Caenorhabditis elegans: one gene and its partner. The protein of the gene in region 1 interacts with the protein of each later gene in a pairwise test. Each region holds a gene or a part of one and is shown in the gene's direction. Other genes may lie near its edges. The genes, in order: R07B7.2 and dnj-10.

Region 1 (16,911 bases):
ACTATAAGTTCAAAACAAATTACTTTTTTAAGATGCCATCCGTCGCAATCGCGGGTGCCGGTCTTGTCGGAGCACTAAATGCGTGTTTCTTTGCTCAAAAAGGATGGGATGTGTCTGTGTACGAGTTCCGTAAAGATATTCGAACAATGAAACATGTCCAGGGACGTAGTATTAATTTGGCATTGAGTCAAAGAGGAAAATCTGCACTTGAAGCAGTTGGATTGAAAGAATATATTGTAAATCAAGGAGTTCCATTGTATGCAAGACTTATACATAATAAAGATGGGAAAACGTACAGCAGGCAACCATATGGAAAACCAGGAGAGGTTTGAAATATTAAATATGGAAATATATAAATGTATGGAATTTTAGCATATTGTATCCATCAATCGTCGGCATTTAAATGAAGTGATGATTACTCAAGCAGAAAAGTCTCCAAACGTCAAATTTTTCTTTGAGCACAAAGTGAAAAATGTTGACTATGATAAGAAGCAGCTAGTAGTACAATGTACATCTCAACCGTCGAAGATACCTACTTTTGGTAATAAATCCCCACCGTAAGTCAATATGGAATAACTTGCTGCTTTTATAAAAAATTTAAAATTATTTTCAGACAAGAGCATGCTGAGTTCCACGTGGAAGCTGACCTCATTCTTGCATGTGATGGAGCTTATTCTGCTGTTCGAAGAAGTCTTATGACCATTCCGAGGTATGTATTTTTTCCAAATTTTCAAAAAATATTATTTTACAGATTTGACTTTTCCCAAGAATACATTGAACATGGATATGTAGAGTTAAATATAATGGCAAATAACAATGAATTTGCCTTCGAAGAGAATGTCTTCCATTTGTGGCCACGAGGTCATTTCACTTTGATTGCATTGGCTAATAGGGATAAAACTTTTACTGGTTTGTTGCAAAACTAATTTGTTTTATTTGATAATCCGTATCATTTACAGTAACAATATTTGCGCCTTTCTCGGAATTTGAGAAACATATGTCGACATCAGAAGATGTACTTTCATTCTTTGAAGAAAACTTCCCAGATGCATTTTTATTACTTGGAAAGTAAGATTAAGAGTTGAACATTCACATTAAAAACTTTTTTTCAAATTTAGGGAACACATAGCAGATACATTTAATCGAGTAAAACCACAACCTCTTGTTTCAATCAAATGTTCACCTCATTCATTCTTCGATAATCTCGTTCTAATGGGAGATGCTGCTCATGCAATGGTTCCTTTTTACGGACAGGGAATGAATTGTGTTCGTTTTCATAAATTAATGAAAATTGTTGAAAATTATTTTGTAACAGTTTAGGGCTTTGAGGATTGTCTTGTGTTTAGTGAAACACTCGAGGAGTACGGAAATGATATTGGTAAGTCACAAACATTCAATTGCGAATTGTAATTCAACTTTTAGCCAAAGCAGTCAAAGTCTACTCAGACGGTCGAGTCAACGATGCTCATTCCATTAATGATCTTGCAATGTACAACTACGAAGAACTCAAGGATCTTGTGAATAAAAGCTCCTACAAACTTCGTAAAAAGTTTGATACAATCATGAACTCAATATTTCCAAAAAGCTGGATTCCATTGTACTCTATGGTTACTTTCTCACGAATTCCATACTCGGAAGTAATTGAAAGAAGAAAAAGGCAAGATAAGATTCTGTCAAGAATAATGACAACTACATCTACATTAGCTTTGATTGGGGCTGCTGCTGGTATTTATGTGAATAGAGGAAAACTTGGTTTATAGCTTTTATTGTTTAATGATGCGTGTTTTTTAGAAAGTTCAAAAAAATCTGATGATAAATTTTTACAAGAGTTTTTTCCCGACTTTACATTATCATTACTGCTGTTTGGTTCTATGCACAGATGATTGTTTATCTATAGTTTCATCTATGCGGCCTGTCTGTCGTTATATTGTGACCTACATTCTTCCCACTTGCTCTTTTGGCCTCCCCGTCGCTGTGTAAAAGGTGATGGTAAATGAGAGTTATTCTAGTCCCATAGTGGCAATAGCGGAACCAGGGGTGTGCGGCAAATCTCAAAATTTGCCGAGCTCGGCAAATTCGGCATCTCTCTTTTTTCAATATTTGCCGAGCACGGCAAATTCGGCAAATTTGCCGTGCTTAACAAACTCGGAAAATTTTGATAATTTTTGATGTTTTTTGGAACACCAAAACTACCGAATTCGTAACACACATCTGGTTTCTGAATTAGTTCCGTGTAGTATGTCTAGTTGAGCATAAAACTAACTCAATTTTGTGTCATTTTACTAAATTTTTGGCGAAAAAATCAATCAAAATTGTACTGTAAAATTTTTGACGTGTGCGGCAAATTTCGAAATTTGCCGAGCTCGGCCAATTCGGCAAATCTACTTTTTTGAAATTTGCCGTGCTCGGCAAATTCGGCAAATTCGGCAAGTTTGCCGCACACCCCTGAGCGGAACCCCCGTCACAACTAGAATGGTATATTTGGGGGGTCGACCAAGGACTACAGAAAGTAAAACAATTCAATCACGTATTTGACACGCTGAAGATTTATTTAATTTACTTGTTTTTCTTCCTAAATAATTCATTTCTGAACAATGCCGTCAGTTGTGATAGCTGGTGGAGGTCTTGTTGGATCTGCGAATGCGTGTTTTTTTGGACAGAAGGGATGGATTGTGGATGTCTACGAGTCGCGTTTTGATCCACGTGGAAACCATATGGAAAATGGAAAAAGTATTAATTTGGCATTAGGCGTTCGTGCAATGAGTACAATGAAGAGAATTGGTCTGAAGGAAAAAGTTATTCATATTGGTGTGCCAATTCGAGATCAAATTGCTCATTTTGGGGACACAAAAGGAAAACTGAAGAGACTACCTGTTCTCAATGATGACGATGTAAGTAGAAGTTCAAGAGTACACATCATTGCTTAACTTATATTTATGAATTTTCGTCGTTTTTATTTTGTAATATCTGAAAATTAACCGAAATATGAGGTGTCAAAATGTAATGCACAGTGTCAATGAGCTAATAGAGAATTTTTTATCGAAAACAATTAATTTAAACTATTTTAGTTCATTCTCACAATAAATCGTCAAGAACTGAGCCAAATATTGATCAACGAAGCGGAAAAATATAATAATGTTAAGTGAGTTCAACATCACAATTAATTAAGCAAACAGATTTTACAATTACAGATTTCATTTCAATTGTAAAGCAACCAAATTTGACTTGAAAAGTGAATCTCTGATTGTACAGAATTCGGATAATTTGAGTACTGTAGATGGTGATCTGTTTCTGGCTTGTGATGGAGCACACTCTTCAATTAGAAGAAGCCTTCTCAAGGCTCCAGGTTTCAATTTCAGTCAAAAGTATTCGGAATTCGGTTATATTGATCTGAGTGTAAATTCTACACAACAATGTGATCTAAAATTGGGAACACATTATTCCTGGAGAAGAAGAGGTATTATCCTTGTTGCCATTGTAAATAAAGATCAGTCATTGACTGGTAAGACTTATATTGGAATTATATCTATCTAAAGTCAAAATTTTCAGTTTCGATGTTCGCCACGTTCTCAGAGTTCGAGTCTAATTTGGTTGGTCCCGTAGAATCTGTTTTGTTTTTTAAGAACAATTTTTATGAAATCTTCAAGATTCTTGGAGAGTGAGTGGCTTCATTTTTCCTTGTTGTTTTCGAACGAATATTATTCTAGAGATCACATCAGAAACACAATTGCCAGAAACAAACCGCAGGCAATTATAAGTGTTCAATGCTCACAGCACGTCTTCTTCGACAAATTGGTATTGATGGGCGATGCAGCACATGCAATGGTTCCATTCAATGGTCAAGGTGTCAATTGTGGATTTGAGGATTGCCTTGTGTTGCAGGAAATTATGGATCAATATGAGGAAGATGAATTGGAAGATGTTATCAAAGAGTATTCAAAAGTTAGAACAAATGAGACGAATATCATTAATCAAATGGAATGGGATGTCAATTTAACGGTTAGATTTCTACATTTTATATTTCTTCGGGTGCTCATCTTGTAAGTAAGATTCTTGATTCTATATTGATAAGTGTCAAAATTCTACGAAAACATAAATACACAGTTCTGAAACATAATACTTTTACTATAGCGAGATTTCATGTTACTTGATAATTTTTGTTACAGCTCACGAGTTCCGTCCATGGCAGCCTGGGATGGATTCGAGAAATACGTGCACACATAAAACTATTGTTATGCTTCATTTTCCCATCATCGTTCACATTGGCAGCCTTCTCTCGGGAGAAATACTCTGAAATTGCCAGAAAAGCACAGATCGTCGAGAAGTGCACATCCTTATTCACAAACGTTTTCATTGTTTTCATAATTTCTGTCATTAGCCTCTTTTGGTATTGTGTGTTGGCAGTTTTATGGGCGAATTGACACCAAGATATACTCTACAGTACTCGGATACTGTAGAGGAAATCTTCAAGCATACTGTCTGCAATGTGCCGTCGTTTCTGGTGTTTGCGTCCAAGAAGTCTCGTGATTTAAAAACAAGTACCGATATTTTAAAAACGATTTTCTTTGCTGAATAAATATATTTATAAATACTGTTTTTCAGACATTTATTGAATTAAAATCCGTTTTTTCCTTAAATTTATGAAATTCCCCAATACGAACTATGTATTCTCTCGTTGCTCACTATGAAACCCACTTGAATGTTCCACCTTGCCCACCGAAATCGATTTTTTTTTTAATTTTTTTTACATCAGTGCAAACATTAACAGCTGTCTAGTGCACACTCAGACCGGTCGGTTCTGCTGCTATGCAGTAATATCTGTTTGCTCACCGATCATCAGTTTTATTATTTTCAAAAAAGAAACAGCATTTAAAACGGGAATTTGTTTTTTTCAACGTATAGGCCAAACACTGAATAATTTGGTTTTGTTATAATTGCTCTTCTACGCTGTGAGTCATCAATCGATAACCGCTCCGCAACCGCAATTGCCGTTCGTACTCTGCCACGCGACTTTCCCATCTGCTCTTCTTCTCTCACTCTCTTTCCCCCTCACTCTCTCTCTCACATTTTCGTTCATTCTATTCACCATCTTGTTACACTCATATCGTCTTATATTTTTCATTGTCTGTTCTTTTCTTTCTAAAAACAGTTTATTTTCAGTTTTATCCGCATTCTTCATATCGTTCATCGAAATGGCTGAAAAAATCAACATGTCTCTGGATGAAATCATCAAGCATGGCCAGAAAAAAGTGAAGTCCGAGCGAGTATCTGCACCAGCAGGAGCATCTACTAGCAACAAAGCTGGAAACAAACCCGTGAGTTTTAAAATAAAATAAGCAACTTTTAAGAATAAATAATTTTTATAGACTCGCCCAGGAAATGCCGGAAGAAACAACCGCAGAGTCCCACCAAGAAAGAGTGCTCAAGTTGTTTTGGCGAACAAGGTTTTGAAGAAATCGAAAGCAATTGCTGCTCGTCGTGCAGCTGGAGGTCAAAAACGCGTTTTCGGTGCCCGTGGAAAACCTGCTGCGGCTGCAGGATTGAGCGCTGTTGCCACCAAGAAGCTGGTTAATAAGCTCGTCAAGGTAAATCTTGTTTATATAATTCATTCTAATAAACCATCACATTACAGAATGCCCTTCGCAAAAGAACCAATATCACGACTGTTCCAGTCGTTCGTAAGCGTGGAGTACGTTTTTACCAGATTTTGTTCTATAGTTGAATATCGAGCTTTGAAAAATGGATTCTTGAAGTGAAATCTGGATACCACACGCATTAAGCGTTGTAGTAAAAGGCTAAAAATCAGGTCGAGAGTTTGATTTATTCCTCTCGTGTCGCGATAGAACCTAGACGTTCTTCGTGTTTTTTGAAACCGCGATGAATAGTTGGAAATACGATCATCCACTATTGAAAACCTGATAGAAAGCCAGGCTTCTGCCAAAAAATCAGAACAGATGGTCTCAATTTGTGTGAAGTTCCTTCCGGAGAGACAGACAGCAACTTCTCCTCAGCTTCTTCAGCGTGTCGAGAGTTCTTCCAATCTTTCACGGAGGTAAGGTAAATGATTTCAGGGTGTTGCTGCTTCAACTCTTGCCGCCAGACGAAATTTTGCATTGAAACGAAATGTCACTGCTGCCCAAGTGATTCAACCTGTGAGAACAATCATCCAACAGAGACCAATAACGGCTCCTGTTCGTACTATCGTACAGCATGTTCGTCAAGCTCCAGTCAAAGTTGTTCGCCAAATCATCACTGCTCCTGTGCAATCTCAAGTGATTCGTAGAGCACCGCAACAACAAGTTCGTCAGAACCGTCCACAGCAGAGACGCAATGTGATTATTCAATCACAGCAATCGAGAAGATTCCGTCCAACAAACAACAACAATAATAATCGTCCAACAGTCATTCGTCGTCAAGTCGTTCAACAAGTTCCAAGACGCGCTCAAGTTCAAAGACCACAGGTAAAAATTCATTATTATTCAGTATCCAGTGTCAGAATTATATTGTTCGTTTTCAGTATGAGCAGGTCGTGCAAAGAGTAATCCAGACTCCAGTGGCTCAGCAACGTTTCCAACGCCAGCCACAACGCTTCCAGCAACAGCAACCTCGTTTCCAGCAACAACCCCCGCGCTTCCAGAGACAGCAGCAGCCACAACAACAGCAAGTTGTGAGAAGCGTCAGATATGTGAATGCAAGACCACCTGTTCAGAGAAACAATGTTGTTCGTCAAGTGAGTATTCAAACTTTTATTTGCTAGAATTGAATTAAAGATTATGATTGAGTTTTACAATACTAGCCACCAATTGGATTAATATTATGAAACATAAATCTTAGGAATCTGTGGTGACCAATATATTGGTTTTTCAGGTTCAGCCAGTTCAATATCGTCCAGTCCAATACGTCACTGATCAGGTTGTCAACTCTCGTGGTCGTGGATTCCGTGCCTTCTAATTTCATCAACTCGTACACAATCAAGGATACTCAGAAGCTGCGTAGTTGTCTACACACCTTGCTTCATTTTATAAATTTATAATTCCTTCTTCCATAAACACCATGTTTAATAAAATACTCCGCCATACTCATTCTATTCACATCCAACAATAAACATGTTGCGTGTCTATCGAAATTAGTTACTTCTCTTATGTCTACAATAAGTTCAGTTGGATTTATTTCAACATTTCAGATGACATCCCGTAACAGGGTGCGAACAAGTTCTAATAGGTAAGAGACTAAATATCACTTGACTTCTCGGAAATAATATTTTTCAGTCTGGATCCAAATGAAGATCCTGTGTCGGGGCTAGAACGAGTCATGTCAAACTCGAATCTAGAACACGTTGCTCGGCAAAGAAGACGACTAGTGCGGGCAAAAACCAGCAATTTTTTCTGAAAATCAAGTTATTTCAGGAGGAAGAGCTGTTATTCTCAAGGCAATTGGATGATGTTGGTCGAACGGATAGCCATGAAGCATTGTCTGCTAGATACGAAAGTCTGAACTATGAAATATCTGAGAATCGACTCTATAGAGATGCTGAAAAGAAACCATCTCACCAGGTTTTGAGATTTCATAGATACAGTAACAATGTCACTTTTCAGTTAACTCTTTGGCGAATTTCTCGAAATCGTTGGTTTGTATGCTTTTTGATTGGAGTTTTCACTGGACTCGTCGCTGCATTTATTGATATTATGGTACACTACAGTAAAGATATCAAATTTAACTGGATTCTCAAATATTGTCAGTTATACTTATCTAACTAATCTATTGAAAACGAAACATTCAGTGCTCTCAAAGTGTGGCGAAGAGCAACGTGGAACGACTGCAGGGTGTATGTGGACCGTAATGATAGCTTGGATAGGATATAATTGTGTTCTCGTAACTATAGCTGCAATCCTTGTGATTTATGTAGCTCCGATTGCTGGAGGTTCTGGAATTCCTCAAATAAAGTGTTATCTTAACGGAATTGCGATTCCTGAGGTGTCATTTCCAGCTCAAAAATTTCTGAAACTTTCGTTTTTTCCAGGTTGTTCGTCTCAAAACGCTCGTTTCAAAAGCAGTTGGAGTTGCATGTTCGGTTGGCGGTGGTCTTTGTGCTGGAAAAGAAGGTCCTATGATCCATTCTGGAGCTGCTGTAGGAGCTGGGATATCACAGGGAAAAAGTTATTCCCTTGGAATCGATTTCGGACTTTTCCGCGAGTTTAGAAATGATCGAGAAAAAAGAGATTTCGTTTCTGCTGGTGCTGCTGCTGGAGTTGCTGCTGCTTTCGGAGCACCAATCGGAGGAGTTCTATTCTCTTTAGAAGAAGGAGCAAGCTTTTGGAATCAAGCTTTGACATGGAGAATGTTTTTCTCTGCAATGATCTCTTCATTCACTGTAAATTGGATTCTCAGTTGGTTCAATGGACGTAGTGGATGGCTCTCATGGACAGGTCTCGCGAATTTCGGAGTTTTCGAAAATAAGGATTATAATATTTGGGAAATTCCTTTGTTTCTTCTCATTGGAATAATTGGAGGCTGTCTTGGAGCTTTATTCAATTATTTAAATACAAAACTCACCGAGTTCCGTAAAAAATATGTGAGCAGCAAACTGGGTCGTTTGTTCGAATGTCTTCTTGTTGCCGCGGTATCAGGATTTCTTGCTTTCCTCACAATATTCGCAATTGACGATTGTCAGCCGATAGGAGCGAATCCTACAGCAACATCAACACAAATCAATCAAATGTGGTGCAAAAAAGGAGAATATTCTGCAGTAGCTTCTTTATTTTTTCAAAATCCTGAAGAAAGTGTGAAGAGTATGTTTCATAGTCCGATAAGTAAGTTTGATCTTTCAAAAACATTTAAGATCCAAATATTTTCAGATTCTTTTGGTGTCACAACTCTTGTTATTTTTGGAATTGAATATTTCTTGCTCACTCTCTGGACGTTCGGAATCTCTGTACCTTCTGGTGTCTTCATTCCAGCTATTCTTACTGGTGCAGCATGGGGCCGCCTGTTTGGAATTTTTGTTGAACGACTTTTCCCTTCGGTTACTGGAATTGATCCAGGAAAATACGCATTGGCAGGAGCTGCCGCACAACTCGGAGGCGTTGTTCGAATGACAATTTCATTAACAGCTATTATAATGGAAGCAACTAAAGATATTACATTTGGATTACCTATTATGTTGGTGTTGATGGTAACAAAATGGGTTGGAGATATGTTCAATGAAGGACTTTATGATGCTCATATTGATTTAGCAGAAGTTCCAATTCTTGGTTGGAATCCACCAAAGATGAGCAGAAACATTTTGGCAGAGTTGGTTTTTTTGTTGTAACAATTCGAAAATCTTTTTTTAATTTTCAGCCGCGTGATGCGAAAAGATGTTGTGGCTCTAGAACGGCGAGAAAGAGTATCCAGAATCGTTGAAATTCTTCGTTCCACACTTCATCATGGCTTTCCAGTAGTAGATAGAATCGAAGAATCGCCATACGAATCACTCCCTGATTATGGACGCCTGAAAGGTTATATTCTGCGATCACAACTGTTCAAACTTCTGGAAAATCGAATTTTCGAGGAAGAAGGAGCTTCAAACTCTGCACTTCCAAATGATTTTTATGAATGCCAGGATGACGACGAGTAAGTGATTTATATTGAATAAAATACGAATTTTAAAACAGAAATTGTTTGGTATTCAACATACTACGAAAATATTATAATTCAATTGTTATATATTTTATTTTCAGCCAAATGAAATCTGTTGCTGAACTCGGATTAACAAATTTCGACGAGTCATGTTTCCTGGACATTGAGCCCTACATGCATCCTCATCCGCACCGTGTTCCACTGAACACATCTCTTCCATTCATTTTCCGACTTTTCCGTGGACTTGGACTTCGATACCTTTTTGTGGTGAACGATGATAATCATGTGAGGACGAACATTATCCAAATTTATTTTTTAGTATTGTTTTTCAGCTTCGTGGTGTGATTACTAGAAAAGATGTTGCCAGATTCCGTGAAAGACGCCGAAACCGCGAGTATCATGTTGATGAACTTTATATTTCTGAATCTTAAATGTTCTTATTCTCTTTCATGTTCTACCATTGCCATTTTGAAAACGTGTTTTTTAAGTCATGGAAATGCACAGAGAGTTTAAAAAATATGTTTGCGTTTAGCAAGATGTCGTTTGGTCTCTTTTGGGAAATAAACTGAAAAACTGAAATTTCGTTTGAAAAAATAAATCGCAACACTACGTTGCAAAATGTGAACTTATTTTGAAATTTTCTGTTCATGTCATAGACACTTTCTTAACAATTTTATTCTGTGATAAATCTTAATCGGTACGTTTGTCTAATGTGTTTTCCGGTATTTAATTTCATTAATTATACTCTCTAGAAGGCGTGAAATAATACCATTATGATTTTATAGACAATTATAATTTTATAAAGGAGCATCGGTAATTAGGATGTACAGAAACACAATATAATTTTTAAAAAGGGTTGAAAGTAAACTTTTTTCAAAATTTAGGTATTATTGAGCCAAAGATCGCATTCGTAAACTCTACAATACCTAAATTATGATGCGAACTAATGCAGGAAAACAGACCAGGACTTTTGTGTATTTAAATATGTTTTGAAAAACGAAATGGGTTACTGTAGCCGAGGTAAAAGTACGCAGAGTTGCGTCATATCCGTTGTAAATAATTCGCCAAACGAAAATTATTTTCTAAATTAGTTTTTAGGAACATTTTTGTTTGGAATTTTGTATGAAACCATTTCACAAACCCTCATTTGATTTTTAATAAATTAATAATCATTATAACGCTTCAGATGAGTGCTTCTGACGGTGATAACACAGAACAAACTGGACGACGTCGCAGTTTTGGGAACTTGTTTGGATCAACACGTGTGCCTTTTTCCTCACTTTCCGATATTTATGCAAATCAAAGTACGTTCGCAAAAGATCAAGGAGTACAATCTGAAGTCGACGTTGCTGATGCCTGGAGCCAACATCACGCTCCAACAAGAGATCAATATGTCCAATCAGAAATTATCACGGCTGTGGAAACTTCAAGCCAATACGAGGTTCAAACAAAGGATAAGGAGGTGGAAGCCATTTGTTCAACGGCGAACAGAACAACACAAACTTGTCATGCAACCAATATCGCCGGTACAAATTCAGAATCTTGTTTAATCGAAAAATTGGCAAATTCACTTTTGGAACATCTTCAAGCTCGCCGGCCCATCAAAGCTCGGACAGCATTTCCAATTTATCTCCAGCAACCTGAACAACTCCAGTTGCTTCCTCCACCAGATCAGCAATCCGCGCCTGTGCCGCCGAGTCATCCGTTGCAAAATTCTGAAGGTAACCCACTTTAATATTCGAACTTTTTCCCATATTTTAATTCGTCCTACGCTCAGGTGCATACATTGAAAATAGGAACATCTCTTGTATATGTCCGCAAAATATTGAAAATATTTCTAATACTCATCATAAAATTAAATTTAAGCTCGTCAAGAGGATCTCGAACAAACTGAAATGCCACAAGCTTCGCAACAAATTGGAATTAATGAGACCAGTCTCAATGATGCCGATTCTCAATCGTTTTTCCATTCGAGACTTCATCAAACGGAACAGAGAGAAGGTATAATTGGCAATAGAGCTTACTAATATAAAATAAATCAATTATTTTGAGAGTAGTAATTTACAGAAACAAACTCAAACAGCATGCAGTCAATTCATTCACAGGTTAATCCACCAGCAAGTCAAGAAACAATGGAAAGTCATTTCCCTGAAATGATCAATTCTCGTAAGTCAGACCATCAACTTTGCTTCTCGTTTAAAAAAGTAACTTCAGAGCGATGCTCATCATTCCCAACTCGACATGATGGATCTTCGCATTTTGCTCGTTCATCATCTGGCTTGCTCGGAAGTATGTCTTCACAGCAACAACGGTCCCAATTTCCTGTTCCCCAAGAAGAAGGAAATCAGGCTGAAGACATGCGAGGGGCTCAGCAACCACATAATGCTAGAAATTTGTTTGGAGGTGAAATATTTTATATTAAAAATGCACTTGGCTCTGTTCAGTTTCGTGTTCGGCTAAACTTATTCTAACAGACAATGAAGAAATTCAAAATTTGTCTTCCACTGCCACCAGAAATCAGTGAATTCAATAATTTTATGAATTGACCAGCCGTGGACCGCACCTCCGGCGCGGCTCCCGACCTCTTGGAGCTAAAAACTAATGTTTCTGAAACTACCGTAATCATGCAGTACTCCTACCGTATCACTATTGTACCACTACAGTAACCCGACTATATCCTTACACTAACCTCAACTCACTATCCCTCCAGAAGCTAAAATTTCGCAGACTACAAAGACTACATAGACTACAAACTATGGACAAACGGAATAAGCGCTTTATATATATATATATATTAGTAAATGATAGTAATTAATTAATTTTCAGGGGTCGGAGGGATGTTTCCATCAATGCCGAATTCCTCGGGAGGACAGGGACCCGATTGGCAAAATAATCATTTCATTCGCCCATTCGGTCAACCTGCGGCTGGCATGATGAGTTGGCATCCAGGAATGATGCCATCTCGTGAGTATAAATTTTGACTACCTCTAATTATAGTCAATTAAACTACTTATGAGAAATTACACGTTTTAGATATGAATAACTCCGCGGCTCCATCTTCTTTTTTTGAATCTCCGTTCATGCCGCCATATGATGTTTTTATGCAGCAGCAGATGCTTCTACACTCTCAATACGGTTCGCTCAATTTCTGCAACTTATAGTAAAGGTATATGTTACAATTTCAGCGGCGTGGGAGCAACAACGGAATCATGCAATGATGTATCAAAATGCACAAAATCAAAATTCGGCGAATGTAAATCCTTCATTTGCCGATATCCCTTCTGCAGCGCCGATTTCTCAGCCAGAAGTCAATGTTAATGAAAACCAAATCGTTCCCGAAGAAACCGAAAGGCTTGAGGCTGATCTTGAAATCGAGAATACTGTCGATGCGATCATCGGTAATAAAAGTATAAATTACGACCTAACATAACATAACATAATATAACAGTAACAGATGTTGGATCCGTCAACCAAGCTGTATCTGGAGTCAATTCGATTGCTCGAGAAACAGAGGAAATCAATAATCAAGATGTGCGAAATGAGACACCAGTGGAAGATTTCGGATCCATAATATCAGCGATTTCTATAACTGAAAATAGAAACGAGTCTCCAATGCCAAGCGCATCTGAAACCGGTGAGGATCGAACACCAGTTGTTTAAATATAGGTTACACAATGTACACCAGGGATGTGTGGGATCTGGCTTTTTCGGCGAACGGAATTCGTCGTTTGTCGCTCAGTCCTGATGCGCCAAGTTATTTCTATATTATTTTATTTCTATTTTTCAGATGACACATCTCCACATACCTCGCGCTCAAGATATGGATCTTCTGTTGCCATTTCCACCGGTATGAAAAGAGCACGACTCGAACCATCACAATCTCCACCGGGCTCATCTCGCAAAAATTCAAGGAATGAGACGACCAAGAAAAATTCAAAAACTCCTTCTTCTACAATTGATAAAGAACCTACTTCATCAAAGAGGACAAGAAAAGGTATTATTGATTTCGAATTTATGTAAATAACCTTTATAAATTAACTACGTTTTTCAGCTCCAGCGCGCTACGAAGCGGAATGGAACGCCGAACAAGGAGGCGATACTCGTCGTGCAAAAAGGTGGTCAAAAGACTTCTATAAGGCTCCCAGTAAAAAGTAGATTTAATTTTTGAATAGGTAATAGTAAACTTTATTGTTTTTTGTTCATCATTCGTTGCCCATTGTTTCACCGATTTAAAAACGCGATTTCTCAAATCTCATTAATGTTTCCCTTTTTATTGCCAGATGTCTGGAAACCTAATGTTCCTTCTCCATTTTCTATGGTTTCTCTTGTTTTTTTTAAGTTTTTTTCTCATAATAAAGTTTTTTTCAAGCTCTGTCGTCCAAAGTAGTCTAGGTGTTCAGTGGAATTATTGAATGTAAGTTTCAGCGTCTTCAAGGGACATTGAGTGGGAATGGGGGAAGTGTTGGGTTACTGGTGCTGCGTTTGTATTAGAAATCAGAAAGTAAATTGAACGAAGAACAATTGTTTATTGGGTGAAATGTTCGGAATATAAATTTAATTTCGACATTAATCTATATACATAACCGTAATATTTAATTCTTTTTTCGAATTAATCAAGCAAATTGATGTTTCTTTTTCTCTTCTTCAATCGTCTCTCGTGTGACAAATGTGAATGATTGTGGTTTATCAGTTGCCATTGGAAAGAATAAAATATTGGCAATAAACATAAGTAAACCATTGAGAATATATACATGACCCCATTGAGTATGAGATGATTCATCTGATACAAATATGGCAACTGTTGCTGGAGCAGCAAATAAGGCAATACATTTCATAAATTGAATCATCGCAAGCACAAAGTGAGCATATTGACTGAAATTTGTTTATGGATAATTGCATGGTTTTCAGAATAATTTACAGTGAATTCATAATTTTCAGTGTTTAAATTTTTGGATTTGGACACAGTTGGAGTATCACCACTTAGGATTTTGTCTGAATGCACTCAAAATACTCAGAATTACCAAATTTCCTAGTTTTGGAAAATTACCAAAATAAAAAAGAGCTTTTGAAAAAATCCAAAGCAATTTCACAGGTTTCAACCCTTATTATATTCAAATAAAAGTTATTTGGCATTTTCTAAAGATTCTGTCATCCATTTGCAGTGATTACAGGATGTCTCATTACGGATTGATCTACAAAAAATGCGGGAATTCATTTTCCAATAAAATTTCACGGGCAAACCCTCATTTACTAGCGTGCTCATTTACTTGAAACGTCAGCACGCTTCTAATCATGCGGAATCAGTTTAGAAGTCTGCTTTTTAATACCGAAATTTTCGTAGACCTAGATCAAGCCGATATGGGACCCTCTGACACCACATGCGGTTGAAGAGAAAACTCGTAATACTTCGACCGCGAAATCATTTGTCCTAATTTTGGTAGAGTATTCTAAAGTTACAAATATGTAGGAAAACGTTAAGGAAACAATTTTTGTACAGTTAAAATTTTAAGTTTTGAAATTAAACCCACTTTTGTCATTCAAAAAATCACTACGATCATGGTATGAGTACGGTTGGGGTGAAACAAAATCAAAGCTTACCGTGACGCAAATGTTCCACATTTATAAAATCCACCACAATTTGTTCCCATCAAAGTGTAGACAATACTGAACATAATAACACTTGTATACTTCCATGAGACAGGAATATATGCCAAACTGACACACATGAATCCAGCAAGTCCGACTGATGAAGTATTGAAGAACCACATTCGAACACGTTCAGAAAGGAATTGACGATCTGATAACCATCCAGATAAGAGTTTAGCTGGCATATGAGCTACTGCCGACAAGGATATCAACATTCCAGTTTCGACAACACTAAAGTCAAGGACTTTACGGAAATATATAGGAGAATAGGTCAATAGAAGAATCAAAGTAGTCATTTCAAAGAAAGAGTTGATCCAAACAGTCAAAATAACTCGATTCTTGCAAATTTCCCAATACGGAACAAACGAATCCCTCTCAATATGTGCTTTTGTTTTATCTTTTTGAATAGTTGTCAACTCTTTTGCTGACACTTTTTGGTTCAATTGTGGATCATCATTATAAAAATAGAGCCATGCAGCAAAAATGATAAAACCAGCAGCTGCGTGAACATAGAATGCAGACTGCCATCCATATGACGATTTACACAACTGAAAGAAACAAAACAGTCTAGAGATTATCTTCATGTCCAGTTACCCAGCCAGATGCGGCATTTGTCATCACTGTGGCTGCTGGGCTGAAACTTGTTAGAATTGAAATAAAGAGTCCGGTTTGAGCAAGTGGAGCCCATCGGACACATACAATTCCAATAGCTGCAAAGTCGGCGGAATAAGCAAGACCCTGAAAAAATTAATGAAATTTTTATAAAACTTCAATTTCAATAGTCCAGCATGACCAACCATCATAATTAAACACTCCGAAGTGCTTAGATTTTTCAAAAAATTTAGTTCAAGTTGTTGCCCCATTTTCAAAAAAGGCTTAGAAATTATCTTCTGGAGCCAACCATTACCTGAGCGAATCTTAGTGCCAATAGATACGGTAAACCAAGATATGCACCATATGGAGTTAGCACTGTTGCAAAAGCTGATACAATTCCAGCAATAAAAAACGGAATACGAGCTCCAAATCTAACATAGGAGTAGTTAATTGGACCTGTTCCAAGTATTGTACCAATTGCCACAGCCCAAACTATTGCACTTTTCTCAGCAACTGAATAGTCATACCTGTTGTAAATTGTCTGAAAAACTTAATTTTCATAAATGAACAATAATTTAAATATTTCACCCACCCCATTTTCAGTAGTTTCAATTCCAGTAGGATCATCTTTCATACAGATAAATGTGAAATTAATAATAATATAATTTGAAAGAATTGAAGTAAGACATGCCAAACCAAGAAAGACGACAATATAGCGGAACCGATGCTTAACAGGGTTCATCATCTTCAATCTGAACAATATAGTTTTAACAATGAGGGATTCGTATTGGTTATACAAAAAAGAGGAAAAACTACTACAAGAGAACAAAAAAAAGTAGAACCAAGTGTCGATATGAAACTGTGAACTGTGTTGTGAGTACATTTTGAAAACATTCAGTTTTGGAAATACATTGGAGGATAACATTGTAAAATTTGAGAAAATGAGGAAAATATGTATATTTTCTGATTATATGGTGATTTTTTCTTTTTCTATATTTGGAGGCATACAGTTAAAGGAAAAAATTTATTCGTTACTCAACTTTTAAAGACAGA
Region 2 (16,161 bases), on another chromosome or scaffold:
GGTATACGGTTTTAAAAGTAAAGTAATGGTAGTGAGATATTCCCAAAATATTTTGTGTTTCGAACACCTGGTCCACTCTCTGTGGAAAAACTGGAGACCTACCCAAGATTTTTTTCAAAATATCGTAACCTGCCCGATCGCCCAAATCTTCTGATAATTGTTGCTGGTATATATTTTTTATTTAACTGATCTCTTTTTACTCCCTCTCTCCTTCACCTCATTCACTTGTCACCCGTAATTAGGTGTGAAGAAGGCGGGAAAAGAGGCGGAGCTTCCTTAGAGCGGGGATGGACGATGAGGGGGAGTTTGTGTTGTATCTCCGTTCACTGACCGGTTAATCAGTGAGGTGCTACTCGTTTTTTTCTTTGTTTGAGAATTAATGTTGATCAACAATACTTAGGTGAACATTTGAATTAATGGCATTTTACCCAAAGTTTCGAACTCGAATATCCTATTTTACTGGGGTTTTGCACTATTTTCCATTTATTGTAAATTCATTTTATTTATTTTTTCAGAAATGATTCTGAAATTCGGTATTGAACGAATCCTGTCTTCCCCCTACCCTTGCCCATCTCCAACTATTTCAACTCCTGCTACAAGTCCATCAAGTATTTCTCCTACTTTTGCATCTCCAAATGGAACACCAAATATTGCGTCAAGTATGTATCCTGCATGGGTGTTCAGCACAAGATATTCCGATCGACCATCTGCAGGTATGCGACTTTTCAGCAAAATTGATTGTGTATATTCTAGAAGGTCTCTGAGTAGACATACTTGAAAGTATACACTCCAGGAGTAACTCTCCTCTTATTCAAGACAAATTCAAAGCAATGTTCATTTCCTACAATGTTCAAATACAAACATGCGAACACTATTAAATTATAAAATCTGAAGAAAAAAACGTTTTTTTTTTGACAATTACCAAATTTATGAAAAAGTAACTCTATTAGAAATCATTCAAAAAATCACATCGGATATAAGTGTAATTTGATTTTTTTTTAAACTATATGCCATATTACAATATTTTCAGGCCCTCGACATCGAAAATCCCGAAAACGAGAATCAACTGGAAGTAGTGGAAGTTCAGAAGAAGAAAAAAGACCACGTACTGCATTCACTGGAGATCAATTGGACCGGCTCAAAACTGAATTCCGGGAAAGCAGGTAATCATGATTACATGTTTTTAACATTTTAATGTCCTAACTCGGCAAAGTTTTTATAAGGAGTAAAAATTATAGATTAGTCGTTTTTATAGTTCAAATTATATTTCCGATTACCAGCAACAACATTCAAAAAGTCAAAATTCCAGATATCTAACAGAAAAGCGGCGACAAGAATTGGCTCACGAGCTCGGACTCAACGAATCGCAGATCAAAATCTGGTTCCAGGTATGTCACTGTTCTCACTGTTTTCAACTTTTTGAGATAAGAAATGACACCCTTTGTTAACATATGTTCCCGACAAAAGAAATATTCACGGACCATTATGGTAATTGTGGGGGTGTTATAATGGAAGTGCGATTAGTATTAGATTACATACATGATAACAAGGAGTTGTAAAGATGTAGGTGAGAGGTCAATGACACTTTTTCTGAGAATCATAAAATATAATAAATCCTTTCATCTTGTATCACGAATTTGTTAGGTAGAACTCGGAAATGTGTACGGTTTTCAATGATAAATCCTGAAATGTTTTTCAAAATGTTGTGAAAAAATTTACTATTTCTTACTTAAGTTAGAAAGTAAGATTTATTTTCAATGAAAGTTGATTTACTAATAAACAATTAAAGGAAATTTTCATATTTATATTTCTATGAACAGCAATTTCATTAACAACTTTGGCGATTTTCAGCAAAATCCATGCAATCTTTGAAAAAAAAGTTGCTGTCTAAAATTCTCTAAAAATGGTTTAACCTCAGGAGATTCTATAGAAGGCAGCCGCGCCTGCCTACAGGCAGTTGTTTTGGCATGAACAAAATATTCTTGTTACCGAAAAGCTCTCCGTCATGAAAAATTGAGTTTTTTGAAATTTCAAACCTTCCTTTTCTCACTCCAGTTTAAAGAAATAGCAACACTATACGGTTTCCCTTTTATAAGATTGATGGGGTTAAACTGAAAGCGCGAAAAATTTGAAATTCGTGTGCGAAGAACATCGGAACTCTGTCAGTGTTTGTCTTTCTATCGTTCCGCCTGACATTTTGATTGATTATACTCCTTTTCTCTACAGTATCCCAATTAAAACTTGAACCTCTTTTGAAACGAAACTATAACCTTGAGAAGAGAGTTTTGAACGCGTACAAAACTCTTGGTTCCTAATTTTCCAGCAGATCTCACTGATTGATACTGTCGTCTCGAATTAGGAGAGTTGTTCGGTTCTTTTCGGGATATAATGACATGGTTTCGCATATGATTTATTAATAGGTTATGTACGGTACCATGACAAATTGGTAAGAACATGAAAGGAGCGCAATAGTTGCATAATGAAAGAGTCCTAGGTATCTGATAAGAAGATATGCGCCGAGAAAGGTATTGACTAATAGGCAGGTATGAATTTGATTGAGTGTAACAGTCTCTCTCAGGCACTTATATCTCCATGCAATTTGCATTTGAAACTTATTCATTAGTTTTTTTTTTTTACTTTTTGGCAGTTTCATTTAGTTCAGCAAATCTACAAAATGAGCAAGTGTGGCCATTTCTCTCAATATTTTCATTGAAATTTAGTGTTAGAATATAGAAAAATACCTATTTGTTTGATAATAACATTTATTCTAGTTGGGACAATGCTCAAAAAGTTGATAATTAAGGATCGATTTTATAATTTTAATTTCGTGGGGATTACTGTAGGTGATACTTTTAAACACACAGGGTGGTCTTGTCCGAAAAGGTAATTAGTCGTTTTTTTTTTATTGTCACACTTATTCACTCAAAAAACACGTTTCCCTTTTGTCTCCTGTCAATGAGTTTTTGTTTCAAGTCAAAAAACGGCACGCGACATACCGACACCTTGTATGGGGTAAGATAACCATCACATTTTATTAGGGGAGAGAGAAGAATTGAAATGACATGGGACAATTTGAAGACGAACATTTGAAATTTGAATATTCACTGAATAGATTTCAAATAGGACTTCCACGAAGGCATATGTATATTACCTCTGTGTACTTTTGCCATAACTTACGCGCGGTGGTATTGCCACGCGGAAAGCGGATAACAGTAACTCGTGTCGATCAACAATTGCAGCATATTATTCAATTTTAATATTAATGAAAATTTTAAAAATACGTGTAAACACTATCAGAGGCCCTTAGATTTTACAGTAATTCGTTGTCCGCGTAGCGAGACCTTGCGCGTAAGACATGGCGAAATTATCATCTTTAGAAGTCTATGTCATTGGAAAGTTGGTAAATTAAAACCACCCGAACTTCTAAAACTTCTTAAATTCCAAATAACAAATTTAAAAAAATATTAATTTCAGAACAAGCGTGCCAAACTCAAAAAGTCGACATCTTCTGTTCCAAGAGATCGATGCTCCTCCGTCACTCCAAATCCTCATAATCATCCGTCAATTCATGGAGGATATCAACTTATGGCTCAGTTGGCAAAGGTTCAGGCTCGAGCTTACATGCCATGAAATATTGATTTTTGTTAGGCGGTTACGGTAGGCCTTGTCTACCGTAATCCTAAAGTATCCCGGTAATAACTTTCTAGTTACTTTATCAAATTAGTGATATTCTCCTCTAGCCAACTAGTCTTCCTCCATTCATTTTTTTTCGTTTAACTTTTTCTCTCGACCAGATCTTATTTGAAATCGAAATACCTCAACATTCAGTTCTCCAAAAAAATCAAAATTTCCTCCACACACGTGTCTCCTCTTCAATGCTATATGAATTATCTCATGACTTTTCATTGTTTTTCTTTTTTGAATAAAGTTGATTTTCATTCAAACGATTCATGACAATATACACATGGATAACAAAAATTAGAAGGGGATGTATAGATTAATCACAGTTAGTAACAGTTAGAATTATATTCTTTTTAACCACTTTTCTTCCAAAATGAGTCGATTGTCACCATTTTCTTCGCTTTTGGTCTCTTCTCTTGAAGTTTTCGCTTTTTCGTAGAAGGTCTTTCTGGTTTCTGCGTTGATTTATTTTCCACAGAAACGCAAATTAACTCGGGTCCGTCATCGTTTTGCACTTTCAGAATACACTCATCGACGTGGCAGTTCATAACGTCTAAACGATTTTCGACATCAGTTCCACAAATGGGACAAGGACGAGTATCCATCATTATGACATCATCATCGTCGACGTTTTCCGATCCTTGTAGATTTTGAATTTGAAGTTTTTTCTCATTCCAAAACTCTGTGATCTGAAATAAAATGTCTCAAAAAAATAGAAGAAAACATTGCTTTATATTTATCAGTTATGGTTTTCAAAATTTTCTGACATACCGTTTTGCTTCTTTTTTTCTCATCTTCTTCAAATATCAATTGTGATAATCTGACTCCTAACAATCGAATTTCTTTTCCTTTTTCTTTTTCCAACAACTCCAGTGAGAACTTTTGAATATCTTCAAGTGACTTCACCACATCAGAAGGTGTCAACGATCTTGTGAGAACATCGAATGAAGATAATTTTAATTTTAGAGTTACAGTTTTTCCTCCGACAATTCCTGATTTACGAACATCTTCTTCAAGCATTCTACAGATTTCTTGATGCTCTTCTAGGAGGATGTTGAAATCCGAAGTTGGAGAAAAAGTTCTCTCAACTGAAATGCTTTTTCTTCGTGGATCCGATTCAGATGGACGACCTGGCAGTCCGAGAGCCGTTCGAAGGAAAGATTCTTGTGAGAGAGGCGTGAAACACAAAGGGTATAGGTTCTTCTTCAGATTCATATCACCAACAGTTTGAATATCCATTGCTTTCAGTTGAGCTTCGCATACACGACCAATTCCTCCAACCTAAAAAATTATCTAGGTAAAACTAGAAGGTTATGCTTTAATAGTCTCACCTTACGAATCGGTAAATCCTTCAAAAACTCCATAATCGCGTTTTTATCATTTTCTAACACATATTGACCATTTGGTTTGTTCAAATCAGAACAAATCTTAGCGAGCATAAAGTTAGATGCGATTCCAGCAGAACATGTTAATCCCGTGAGTTGTTCAACTCGAAATCGAATTTCTCGAACAGCCTCCTCTCGTCCAGTTCCGAACTCCACATGGTCGTAGTAGATTTTCCGCGATTTTTCGCATTTTGGACAGATCGATTCTTCGATTTTCAAGTCTTCCAAAGTATTTTCATTCTCGTCGAAACGGGGTAACCAACATGGACAATCTCCGCCGAATCTGTGACGCTTGAAGGTTTCTAGTAAGCAAATAGTTTTTTGTTAATAATCAAATCTAAATCACTAACTTTTTTCTGTATTACTTGCCACATAGTCTGTCAAATCTATAAATGCCTCATCCAATGACATCATTCCAACATCCGAATCGTATTCCATGAAAATTTGTGAAAATTGGCGACTGACTTTAGTGTATTTAGGGTAATTTCCTGGAACAATCGTTAGACTCGGACAAAGTTTATTTGAGATGAAGCCAGGCATTCCAGCACGGACTCCAAAACGGCGAGCCAAGTAGTTGGATGTGCTCTGAAAGAATAGATTTAAAGCTTTTCCGAAATCGAAAATTTACTTTTCAAATTGAGTTAGGTGCTTACCAGCATTGCCGATGAGCCTACGGCCATAGGAACTGTTCTCAGTGCAGGATTATCTCTCATTTCAACTGCGGCAAAATAAGCATCCATATCTATACAAACACAGTCTCTTGATAAATCTCTAGATGATTCCAGTTTCATCTCAAGATTCTCCATCTGAAAATTGGAAATTTGCTCTAAGTAAATTTATTAGCTTTTAAAATACATACCAGTATCTCAGATTTTTGTCTTTCTTCTCTGGTTGCTGTTTGCAAACGATTTTTGATTTCTAAAACTTTCTCTTCAATTCTTGATTGTTGTTTTTTGGAAAACGACGAGTAGGACGCTGATGTGTTTTCTTCGATGACTTTCGTGATTTTCTCCTTATCCAGTCCATTCATTCCAGCTTTATTATCGTTGAAAGTCAGCATTTTTCACGAAAAAGAGCCGGATTTTGAAATTCGCGGAGAAACTCCACTGATTGTGAGTGTGCAAATGCGCGTAATGGTGTACTTACGTACATCGGCAACACATTTGACGACATATCAGAAAGCGGCGCCAAATTAGAAGTTGAGTGCGCGAGAAAAAACTACGCGTTAACCGCCAATTTTCACTTCCCCACAGATCTGTCTCGAGATTCTCGAGTCATTTTTCAAGTTTATTTGTTTGTCAGCGGTTGTTTTATTGAAGATTTGTAAAATTTATAACAAAATGTGCAATAGTCTATTAAACCTCGTGAGATATTTGAAGAAACTTTCCCCGTTTTAAATATTTCGTGTATTCGTGGAGATCGCGGGAATGTTTTGCCTGTTTCCGTAAAATTCCTCTATTTCTTTTATTTTTGCTTGCAATTTTCGATTCATTTCAGAAGTTTCCACATTCGCAAAACGAATGGACGTCTCTTATTACGATGGTCCCAAGGATGAAGTCGCCGAAGCAATGCTGAAAAGCGCGGTGACGGCCATGAGATTGGGACAATACGAGGATGGAAAAGGACGCTTAGAGGAGATAATGGAGTTCGGAACCTCAAATTTTCAACTACTTGGTACAATCTACATGTATTACGGAAGAGTGTGCAGGCATTTGAACCATGATGCCAAGGCCTTGGAGTTTTTCGAACATGAGTTGAACATGTTCAAGTAAGTGAATCACAAAAATGAGCTGGACATTCTATAACCTTAATTTTTCAGATTGATCTTCAACTACCCAGAAGCATGTGATTCCACACGTCGCATCGTCGAGCAGGCACTCAAAATGGGAAAGTTCCCCAAGGCTCGACGGTTTGCTGAGGATCTCATTGATTACACCAGCAATAAGAAGAACGGAGAGAAGTATATCGGTCAAGCTCGAATTTTGTTCGCTTCCGTGTGCCTCGAAGGATGTGAAAGAGACGTCGAGAGTAATCAAGATGAGAAGAAGAAGCTTTTGTCAATATGTGCTGAACAGATTGCAGCCGTGAAATTGTTCAACGAGAATAATACGGAAGGAGCTGTGTCTGAGACCAAAATCATGTTACTTGAGGCGAAATGCTTGTCACTAGACGAAAAATACGAGGAATCGCGTCGCAAGTATCAAGAATGCATCGATTTTGCCATCAAAACAGACCAGTTTGAAGCAGTTCACATCGCCTATTACGACAAGGCTCTATATGCTGAGACAGATCTTCTTTTCTTTATTATCAGAGATCTCAGGTAATTTTTAGTTTTAACGATTAATAAAAATATCAATTCTTTATTCACAGAAGTGCTCTCTTCTACGCCACGAAATTCGGAAAAGAGCGAGATGTAGTCAAATATAAGTCGAAGCTATCCGAAGAGATGCTGAGAAATGGCGAATTCCACGAAGCATATCTCTACGGATTGGAAGCGCTTGTATCGATTCGGAAGCTTGGATTGAACGAATACATTGGAGATGTGTTGCTTACAATCGCAAAGTGCCTCATTGCACTTGGAAAAAGACGCCAAGCTGCTTATTTTATCATCTTGGGGAGTGTTCTGACCATCAACCAAAACAGTTTCAAACTGTTCTACGAGCAGATCGACGTGGCGATGAATCAAGAGAGAAGCGAAACGGCAACTGATCAAGATGTATGCCTCGCAATTGATTCGTCTCCTGATCCGACATCCTCGAATGACATGATTAATAAGTTCGTCGTCGAACTGGAGCACGCAACAAATGTGGAAACCTGGGAAATGATTGTCAACGGAATCATTGACGACCAGAAGAAACCAGTGGCGATCGAAAAGAAAGAGAACGAGGAACCCGTAGACATGATGGATCTCATTTTCAGTATGAGCTCACGTATGGATGATCAAAGAACTGAACTGCCTGCTGCCAGATTCATTCCGCGTAAGAAATGTTATAAATAAGCGTATAAGTATGCAAATTTATATTTTTCCAGCTCGTCCAGTGTCATCGGCATCGAAAAAGACTACAAAGAGTCACAGAATCCTCCCTGGACTCCGTGCCAATTGGACAAAAGTGCAGTCGATGAAGTTCGATGGTCACACAATGAATAGGATCCTGAAGAGGTCGAAGAAAAGCAAATCGTCATTGGATTCTACAAATTCGATGCAGGGCGATGATACTCGAAGCGATGATGTGACAATGACGTCCAAATAGGACCATTATTTTTTCTGTCAAATAATACAATCAAACTTTCTTTATTTATTTTTTTTTTACTTTCTTTCAGTAAATATTATTATCATTTTAGTGGTTCTTTTATTTTATTTGCTGGTCAGAAAAGCTGATTTTTTCAATTAGCGAAAATCCATCAAGTCATATTTCTATAGACTCTTTACTACATACGTTGATGACTTTCGTGATTTTCTCCTTATCCGGTTCATCCATTCCAGCTTTATTATTGTTGAAAGTAAATAAGCATTGTTTCCCGAAAAAGAGCCGGATTTTGAAATTCGCGGAGAAAAAGTTGAAAATTGAAAAATCCAAACGATGCTCCGATGTTCCGTCCGAAATGTGTGTTTTACCGTGACGGTGTTTGCAGACAGCTTGAAAAAACATTTATTTTTTTATTTTAATTTTATTAATTTATTATTTATTTTAGAATGTTCTATATTTTAAAATGTGAATTTGTTTCAGGGTACTCGGAATGTTTGTCTTAAACCGTTCAAGCGGGCTCATTCATCGATCTGTACCTTTATTAGCTCAAGTATCCACGCCTACGACTTCCACAACAAAATTAGGTTAATAATTCTCCATTTGGTGATAAACCAATTCTTTTCTGCTTTTTTAAAACATTATGTTACAGCTCAACTTCACACAACGCATGCACTAAGCAAAGAAGATTATTATAAGACTTTGGGTGTCGACAAAAAATCTGATGCAAAAGCAATCAAAAAGGCTTATTTCCAGGTAATATAAGTTTTTATCGAATACTTTGTAAGTATAAATACGTTATTTCAGCTTGCCAAGAAATACCATCCAGATGTAAACAAAACAAAAGAAGCGCAGACGAAATTTCAAGAGATTTCTGAAGCATATGAGGTATTTTCAACAAACAATAGAGCAGGCTCGAATCAAAAATATTAAGGTACTTTCCGATGACACAAAACGTCAAGAATATGATGCATACGGAAGCGGAGGTGGCCCAGCTGGTGGAAGAGGTGGTGCTGGAGGTTTCCACCACCATGGAAATGTTGATGTTAACGAAATTTTCAGAAGAGCATTTGGTGGAGGGGGTGGAATGGTGAGTTCTCCTTATGAATTCTTCTGAATATTATATTAATTATATAATTTTTATTGTAATTAATAAAAACTACAGTTTTATTTATTTTTTCGCTGATTCCAGGGTGGCTTTAATTTTGATAATTTTGCCCAAAGTGCTTTCGGACATTCTGCTGCTCAGGAAATGGTTATGGATATTTCGTTCGAAGAAGCTGTCCGAGGAGCCACCAAAAATGTTTCTGTAAACGTAGTTGAAGATTGTCTGAAATGTCACGGAACTCAAGTTGAACCAGGTCACAAAAAGACGTCGTGTCCGTATTGTAACGGAACTGGAGCAGTTTCTCAACGTCTTCAGGGTGGTTTCTTCTATCAAACAACTTGTAATCGATGCAGAGGAAGTGGACATTATAATAAGGTAGAGTTATTGATTTTTCTTTTATTGTAGCTTTTAATTTTTTCTTCAGAATCCTTGTCAAGAATGTGAAGGTGAAGGTCAAACCGTTCAACGACGTCAAGTATCATTCAATGTGCCAGCTGGAACTAATAATGGAGATAGTTTGAAGTTCCAAGTGGGGAAAAATCAATTATTTGTTCGTTTCAACGTTGCACCATCTTTGAAATTCCGACGTGAGAAAGATGATATTCACTGTGACGTAGATATTTCTCTGGCTCAAGCTGTTCTTGGTGGTACTGTAAAGGTTCCTGGAATTAATGGAGATACATATGTTCATATTCCGGCAGGAACTGGCAGTCACACTAAAATGAGGTAATAAATCTCCAAAAATTGGAACTTAAATATTCATTAAACAATTTTCAGATTAACAGGAAAAGGAGTAAAACGATTGCATTCTTACGGAAATGGAGATCAATATATGCATATTAAAGTAACGGTTCCGAAATATTTGACAGCCGAACAGAAACAAATTATGTTGGCTTGGGCTGCGACGGAACAGCTGAAAGATGGAACCATCAAAGGATTGGAGAAAAATCAGAAAACCGAGGAGAAGGAGACGAAGAAAAATGAGGAAAAGAAGTCTGAAGGTGAAAAAATATGATTTCAATTTGAAACAAAGGTTTTATCAAAAAGTTGTCTTTAAAAAATCGAGAAATTACCAAAAAAAATTCATTAATTTTTTTTTTTTAAACCGACATTATTGGTTGTAAAGATTCAAAAAGTTTGTAAAATTTTAAAGTTGTTTGAAAAATACCTGAAAGTCTTGTTTTTTTTTTTGCATTCTGATGCACTTGTAATCTCAATTTTTCCCCAAAACTGATTTTTGATTCTTTTCAATCCAAAATTACTAATTTATAGGTGCATCAGAATCACAAAAACGGAGAAGTGAGCCAGTAGCTGAGAATGCAGAAACTATTGACGAAAATCAAGAAAACGAGGGATTTTTCGAAAAAATTAAACGAAAAATTTTCGGGTAAATATATAAATTTCTAAACAAAAATTAAATATTTTTGTTTCATTTGTATTAATTGAAATTTTCCAGATAAGTCCGAGGAGAAGTCCGAGTCAAAAGAAGAGCCAAAAAACGAAGAATCTAGTGAAACCCCCGAGAAAAAAGCTGCAGAATCCTAATATTTGTCGCAATTTATCGATTACTGTCCCAATCTTTCCAGTTTTGTTCCCTTGAAATTTGTTTTGTCTCATTTGTAGTTCTATTAGAGTGATTATAGTGTCTTTTTTGTTACACTTGTTTTTTTTTTCTATTTTCAATTAAACCGAAACAAATTTATCAAATTTTATTCAGAAAGAGATAACACAACTAGCAATGATATGAAGAGTTTTATGGATGAAACTGGATTTTTTTAGAAAATGGTCTGTAACTTGGCTGAACATGAAAATATCAAAAACCTCAAAATTGATAAAATGTGGTAAAATGTTTTTCAGTTTTACTACACAACAAAGATTTTTTTATGAAATTAGATGGATGTTGAGTTATGACTGGTAGAACAGAAAAGTTTTCAAAAATTTTTGTGGATTTTGGTAAAATGGCTTTGACTCAATGTAACGCAACGAATAATTGGTATTTAAAAATGACAAAGATTTTAAAAGAAAGAAAAAACATTTCTGATCATTATGTCAGTTGAACATTTGTTTCCTAGGCATTCATGTTTCAAGATACGCCAGTTTGAAGATACGCAGTTTAGTGAGTTTAGGAAGTTATATTCTCATTACAAGCACAGGTACATGAGAAAACAGCAGTCAAAGAAGGGCGGTATTTTTTAATTTGGAATTATATTTTGCTCCTTATAATATTGGGAACACATCTGTGCTGCTAAATTATTGTTTTGTTAATTTAAACCGAAACAAATTAATCAAAATTTATTGTAAAATAAAAATACAACTAGCAAAATATTTTATAGGACAAAATATGAAAAACGGAATGTCGTGTGAAGATGGAATTGAAAAGATATGAAATCATTGTGATCTGTTCAGGCAAACTTTATAAAAAGCAAGGTTTTCGGGATAGTTTGAAAGAGCAGATCACCTGGATGTGAAAATACGGTGACATTTTTTTGGAAAAGGGAAAGAAAATGAAAAAAAATCGATAATTTATAGAAATTTTAGCCCGTTTTTAATTAGGGAAAGGGCGGTGAGTTAAGGATGTGAAATAATTGAAATTTCAAAATGGAAAAGTGGTTTTTTTTGCACAGAATTTTTCATTTTTCATCTTGAAGGTTATATTAAACACGCGATGACTGTATTTAGAACCCATTAAAATAATGGAGAAAAATGTCTCAAAACTGAAATACTGATTTGAGAAAACCATTTTCCCTATTTGAAAACTAAAAAAGATGACAAAATATAAAAATGGAAAATCTATTTGAATGCACGATTGAGAGAATATCTTGAATGACAAAATCTACAACTTTGCATATCAATTGCAGACGATGACGTGGAAATGGTAGCAGCATCGGCAGTTTGATCAATATATCGAATACATCGGATATCAGTTGGTATGAATGGTATGATGTGTTTGGAAACATAGAGATTCTCCACTATAAAAGCTTCTCGGGACATGTTACGAGCTCGCTTTTGCATTAAATTTGCGTAGAGTTCTGATACAAGGACTACCTGGAAATATTTCAATTTTCCGTTGATCAACATAAAAAAGCAAAAAAAAATGCTTTTCAAAAAAGGCAAAAGTTTTTTAAAAGTTTCAACTATATGCATATTTTTGACCACAAAACCAAAACAAAACAAACTCAATAATATAAGTAAAGAAAACATTATGGAAATCATTTTCTCGCAAGGTCTTGTAAAACTAAATCGCACTTGAAACTGACTATTTATATATATGAGAAAAATGAAGGAGTCCTCCAAAAATGATGCAACTCAAAAACGAAACATCAAAACGTATTTTTCAACATTTCGCATTTCGCATTAGAGACATTTCGCATAGAACGGATTTATGTGGAAATTTATGGACGTTTTCGTCCTTTTTAGATACATGAGCACATGTTCTCCTGTTTTATTTAGAGAGATGACTTGCTTTCAAAATTAAAAAAAAAAACTGCTTATACATACCTTTCCTCCTACAACCGCCAATGCAGATCTAGCGTCTTGAATTTTTCTTCCGAAATAATGAATCTTTCGAATATACTGTACTCCTACCAAATCAATGCACATTGTAGTTATTGCAAGACCTAAAAATATTTTGAATTTTTGTTTTTTTTTCATTGAAAATTTACCTAAAATGATATAGAGCAATATGATATACATGTATCCGTCCCTTCTGGGCATCAAGTCGCCAAACCCGACCTAAAAATATTAATTTCAAAGAGTTCAACAAACTGGAACAAATTACAGTAGTCATTGTAATGAAGGACCAGTAGAATGAAGTGAAGAAAGACCACGGCTCTAATTTTGACATTAGGACACCGCCAAACGCTGTATATACTATCAGAATAGCTAATACCAGGAATGCAGGAATTCTGGAAAGACAAAAATTGAGATGAGTGAATTAAGTTTTGAAAGGTAATTTTCAAAATCCATTAAAAATGTATTAAAAATATTTTACAGTTTTCCAACGACCAAAAAATCTGTCGAACATATACAAAAAACCAAAGCCAGCTTACAATGGAACCCCTAGTTTTTGTGATTGATCGATTGTTTCATAAATGTGTTTTATAACATTACGAACAAAAAACGCTTCTTGACTGGCAAAAACGTTTACCTTTTCTCCTCGATATTCATATCATGCCCCATTCCATGACTGTGACAGTGCTCACAAACGTGCTCTCTCCGTTCTTTTCGATGTCGTGACAATATGAGATATTTTAATTTCAAATAGTTTCCATACAACCAAACAAGATGTTCAGATAGGAATTTACCTGAAAATTATTAAAATTATAATACATTTTCTACATTTTCCCTTTAAAAACAAATTTTAGATGCGATTAGCTGATCGCAGTAGCTATCAGATGTAACTGATGTTTTTTTAAAAACTTCACGTACTACAGATTTTCTAGTAAAAGCATATAAGTGCCTGCCCACTTACCCAAGTCAGCGATGGTAACCAGTGTTAGAGGTATTCCAAGCAAGGAGAACAATATACACCATATCCGTCCAATGTTTGTCACTGGAACTGGATTACCGTATCCGATGGTAGTGACGACGGTTACGGCAAAGAAAATGGACGATGAAAATGTCCATGTCTCCGTTGCTGCGTTCTTTTTTACCTGAAAATAAATTAAATTATTTTTGAGGTATTTTGAGGTAGTATTATTGTATTAAAAGTTTGAATAATTTTGGTTGAATTTGGAATAGGTTGAAATCAAACTTTTCAAGTAAAAAACAAAGTTTCAATAGAAACAGTTTGAGAGAAATGATAAATAGCTGACCGGAAATGAGTACGAAAATCTACTTTTTAAACTTTGAGTATGCTCTGAAATATTTTCCTGTTATTTCCTTTTTCCATATTCTGGCTTTCAATTATCTTTAAAAAATTTTAAAGACACATCTTGGTTAAGTGTTTGGTGAAACTATAAATCTAAAACTATTTTTAAAGGAAAATCCTTGTCCCTTTGGATTAAAAAGAACAAGAATAATTTTGAAATGTTTAATTACAGACACAGACAATTGCTCAGTTAGCGCATAAAAAAATAAGCAGACAATGAACCAACAGAACAAAAAACTTGAAAGGGTCTCTCTATCTGACAAGTTAGAGTTTTGTCATCTCCCGCGGGAACAGCTGAGCTTTCTCCACTTGTTTTTGTCTAATCTCTCCACATTTTTCATGATCTATTGTTGTTTCTATCTTTTGATAGTCACAAGGGACCTCTTGTGTTTTCCGTTTCTATTTCACACCGCCAAACAGACTCAAAGAATGGAAGGTTTTGTGGAAAAATAGGAAAAAGATGAATTGGTGAGGATTATCAAGGATGGGGGAAAAGAGGTCGATAAGGAAATAGTTGGGTTAGAGAAGAACAAATAATAGTCCGGGTAGTTTGGATGGTTCAGATGTTACTTCTATATTGATAAATTATAAGTTGTGTCGATGCAAAATGTTAATTTAAATAGCCGATCGTAGTTTGAAGCAATCAGTTTACTGGTCAATTTCCGGCACATTTCGGCCAATTTTTGCCAAAATATTATATAAGTTTAGTTAGAAAGTTTTCAAAGCTGGAAATAAATTCGGCAAGACTTGGCCTAGATTTCCAAGTTTAGCTAAGCTTTGATTAAACTTCTGTCAATTTTTCATGAAAACTGTTCGTATTTTTTTATAGGGTCGAAATCGGGATGCCTGGAGTTGTGCCCGGATTGAGAAAAAAATTTGCAAATAGCCATCTCAATTACTCAATTACAAATTGCTTGCAATACATTTTCCGTACCTTCTGGTCGTCACATGCAATCTTTACAACAAAAAGTCCTGTCAAACTCACCTCGTTACTCGTCAAGAAATACTTCTCAAATGCGACAAACAGCTGATCGGACATATTGTGCATGTGCCGTTCGGCTAGTGACTCCCATTCGTATCGTTCTGCAGACAATTGTGTTCAGGAAATTTTGTGGATTTCCATTTTTTGCCAGTTTGGTCGAATTATGTGTTGTAGGTATTGTCAAACAAGTTTCGTAAATTTGGCAATGTGCCAAAACTTTCAAAAAAAAAAAACAACGCTTTTAAAGTGTTTTAAAATACTTGGTCAATCTGAATTAATATAATTGCATGTAAATCCCCACTACTGATATTAAAAAGTTATGCCAATCTAACTTACTTGTCTCATTTCCAGCAGCCAAACGAATTAAGTCGTCAACAAACTCATTTTGACGAGTGTAGATCAGTTTAAGCTGAAAACTATTATTATTTTGAAAATTTCATATAATATTTCGAAATATTCATAGAAAGAAAACAATTGTGTCCACAAAAATGCTGTTGTAAATATATAATTAGGTGCACTCATGTGCTGCCAGGTTGTTCTTTGTTGAAAAATTCGATTTCAGGATGCCATAAAGTAAATGGGAAAATATAATGGAATCTAACGCGACATTGTTTAAAATACTTTGGCCGCTTGTGACGCCACACTGTTAAGTTTTAAAAATATATAAATTGATCCAAAAAAATTGAAACTAACTATAAGCTTGACGAATAAAATCTAAGAGCCTAATATAAAAAAGAAGCTTTTTCTCATGCTAGGTACTAAAAAAGGCGCCCGAAAAGCACCTGGCCACCGCAGCCTTTTTTCCAGAAAATCGGAAGTCGTTCGCAAAGAAAATGGAAATGCTTGAGCCAACTGAGCCCATCTGCCACGTCAATGAAATAGGCAGATGG

Evidence for each region.
Region 2: the proteins of R07B7.2 (region 1) and dnj-10 interact in a two-hybrid assay, tested with the Caenorhabditis elegans proteins (one large-scale study listed by BioGRID).

The regions. Positions count from the first base shown.
Region 1 is NC_003283.11:12,053,641-12,070,551, reverse strand, and holds R07B7.2 (PUM-HD domain-containing protein), read left to right. Parts: upstream 1-10,802; 5' UTR 10,803-10,804; coding exon 10,805-11,339; intron 11,340-11,484; coding exon 11,485-11,619; intron 11,620-11,685; coding exon 11,686-11,784; intron 11,785-11,832; coding exon 11,833-12,021; intron 12,022-12,444; coding exon 12,445-12,582; intron 12,583-12,651; coding exon 12,652-12,753; intron 12,754-12,803; coding exon 12,804-13,025; intron 13,026-13,066; coding exon 13,067-13,252; intron 13,253-13,405; coding exon 13,406-13,612; intron 13,613-13,669; coding exon 13,670-13,773; 3' UTR 13,774-13,990; downstream 13,991-16,911. Other genes in the region: kmo-1 (Kynurenine 3-monooxygenase), read left to right, coding at 33-326, 373-557, 614-709, 752-909, 960-1,068, 1,119-1,266, 1,321-1,378, 1,423-1,760; kmo-2 (FAD-binding domain-containing protein), read left to right, coding at 2,595-2,891, 3,069-3,142, 3,192-3,502, 3,550-3,658, 3,708-3,999, 4,167-4,421; pqn-53 (Prion-like-(Q/N-rich)-domain-bearing protein), read left to right, coding at 5,193-5,315, 5,367-5,585, 5,633-5,689, 6,072-6,461, 6,518-6,730, 6,868-6,951; clh-6 (Chloride channel protein), read left to right, coding at 7,184-7,221, 7,269-7,359, 7,407-7,553, 7,596-7,734, 7,781-7,974, 8,021-8,810, 8,856-9,291, 9,340-9,612 and 2 more; F10C2.7 (Major facilitator superfamily (MFS) profile domain-containing protein), read right to left, coding at 14,232-14,490, 15,217-15,812, 15,859-16,002, 16,172-16,399, 16,451-16,600.
Region 2 is NC_003281.10:8,622,371-8,638,531, forward strand, and holds dnj-10 (DnaJ homolog dnj-10), read left to right. Parts: upstream 1-8,794; 5' UTR 8,795-8,804; coding exon 8,805-8,898; intron 8,899-8,963; coding exon 8,964-9,067; intron 9,068-9,118; coding exon 9,119-9,199; intron 9,200-9,245; coding exon 9,246-9,401; intron 9,402-9,503; coding exon 9,504-9,794; intron 9,795-9,843; coding exon 9,844-10,145; intron 10,146-10,196; coding exon 10,197-10,420; intron 10,421-10,691; coding exon 10,692-10,806; intron 10,807-10,875; coding exon 10,876-10,879; coding exon of another isoform or gene 10,880-10,964; 3' UTR 10,965-11,195; downstream 11,196-16,161. Other genes in the region: Homeobox protein engrailed-like ceh-16, read left to right, coding at 518-713, 1,031-1,163, 1,310-1,388, 3,475-3,630; polk-1 (DNA polymerase kappa), read right to left, coding at 4,035-4,370, 4,453-4,962, 5,013-5,368, 5,417-5,651, 5,720-5,872, 5,926-6,126; gpr-1 (G-protein regulator 1), read left to right, coding at 6,587-6,834, 6,886-7,386, 7,437-8,044, 8,097-8,317; twk-7 (TWiK family of potassium channels protein 7), read right to left, coding at 12,210-12,464, 12,918-13,036, 13,082-13,151, 13,198-13,324, 13,567-13,723, 13,891-14,071, 15,275-15,372, 15,608-15,680.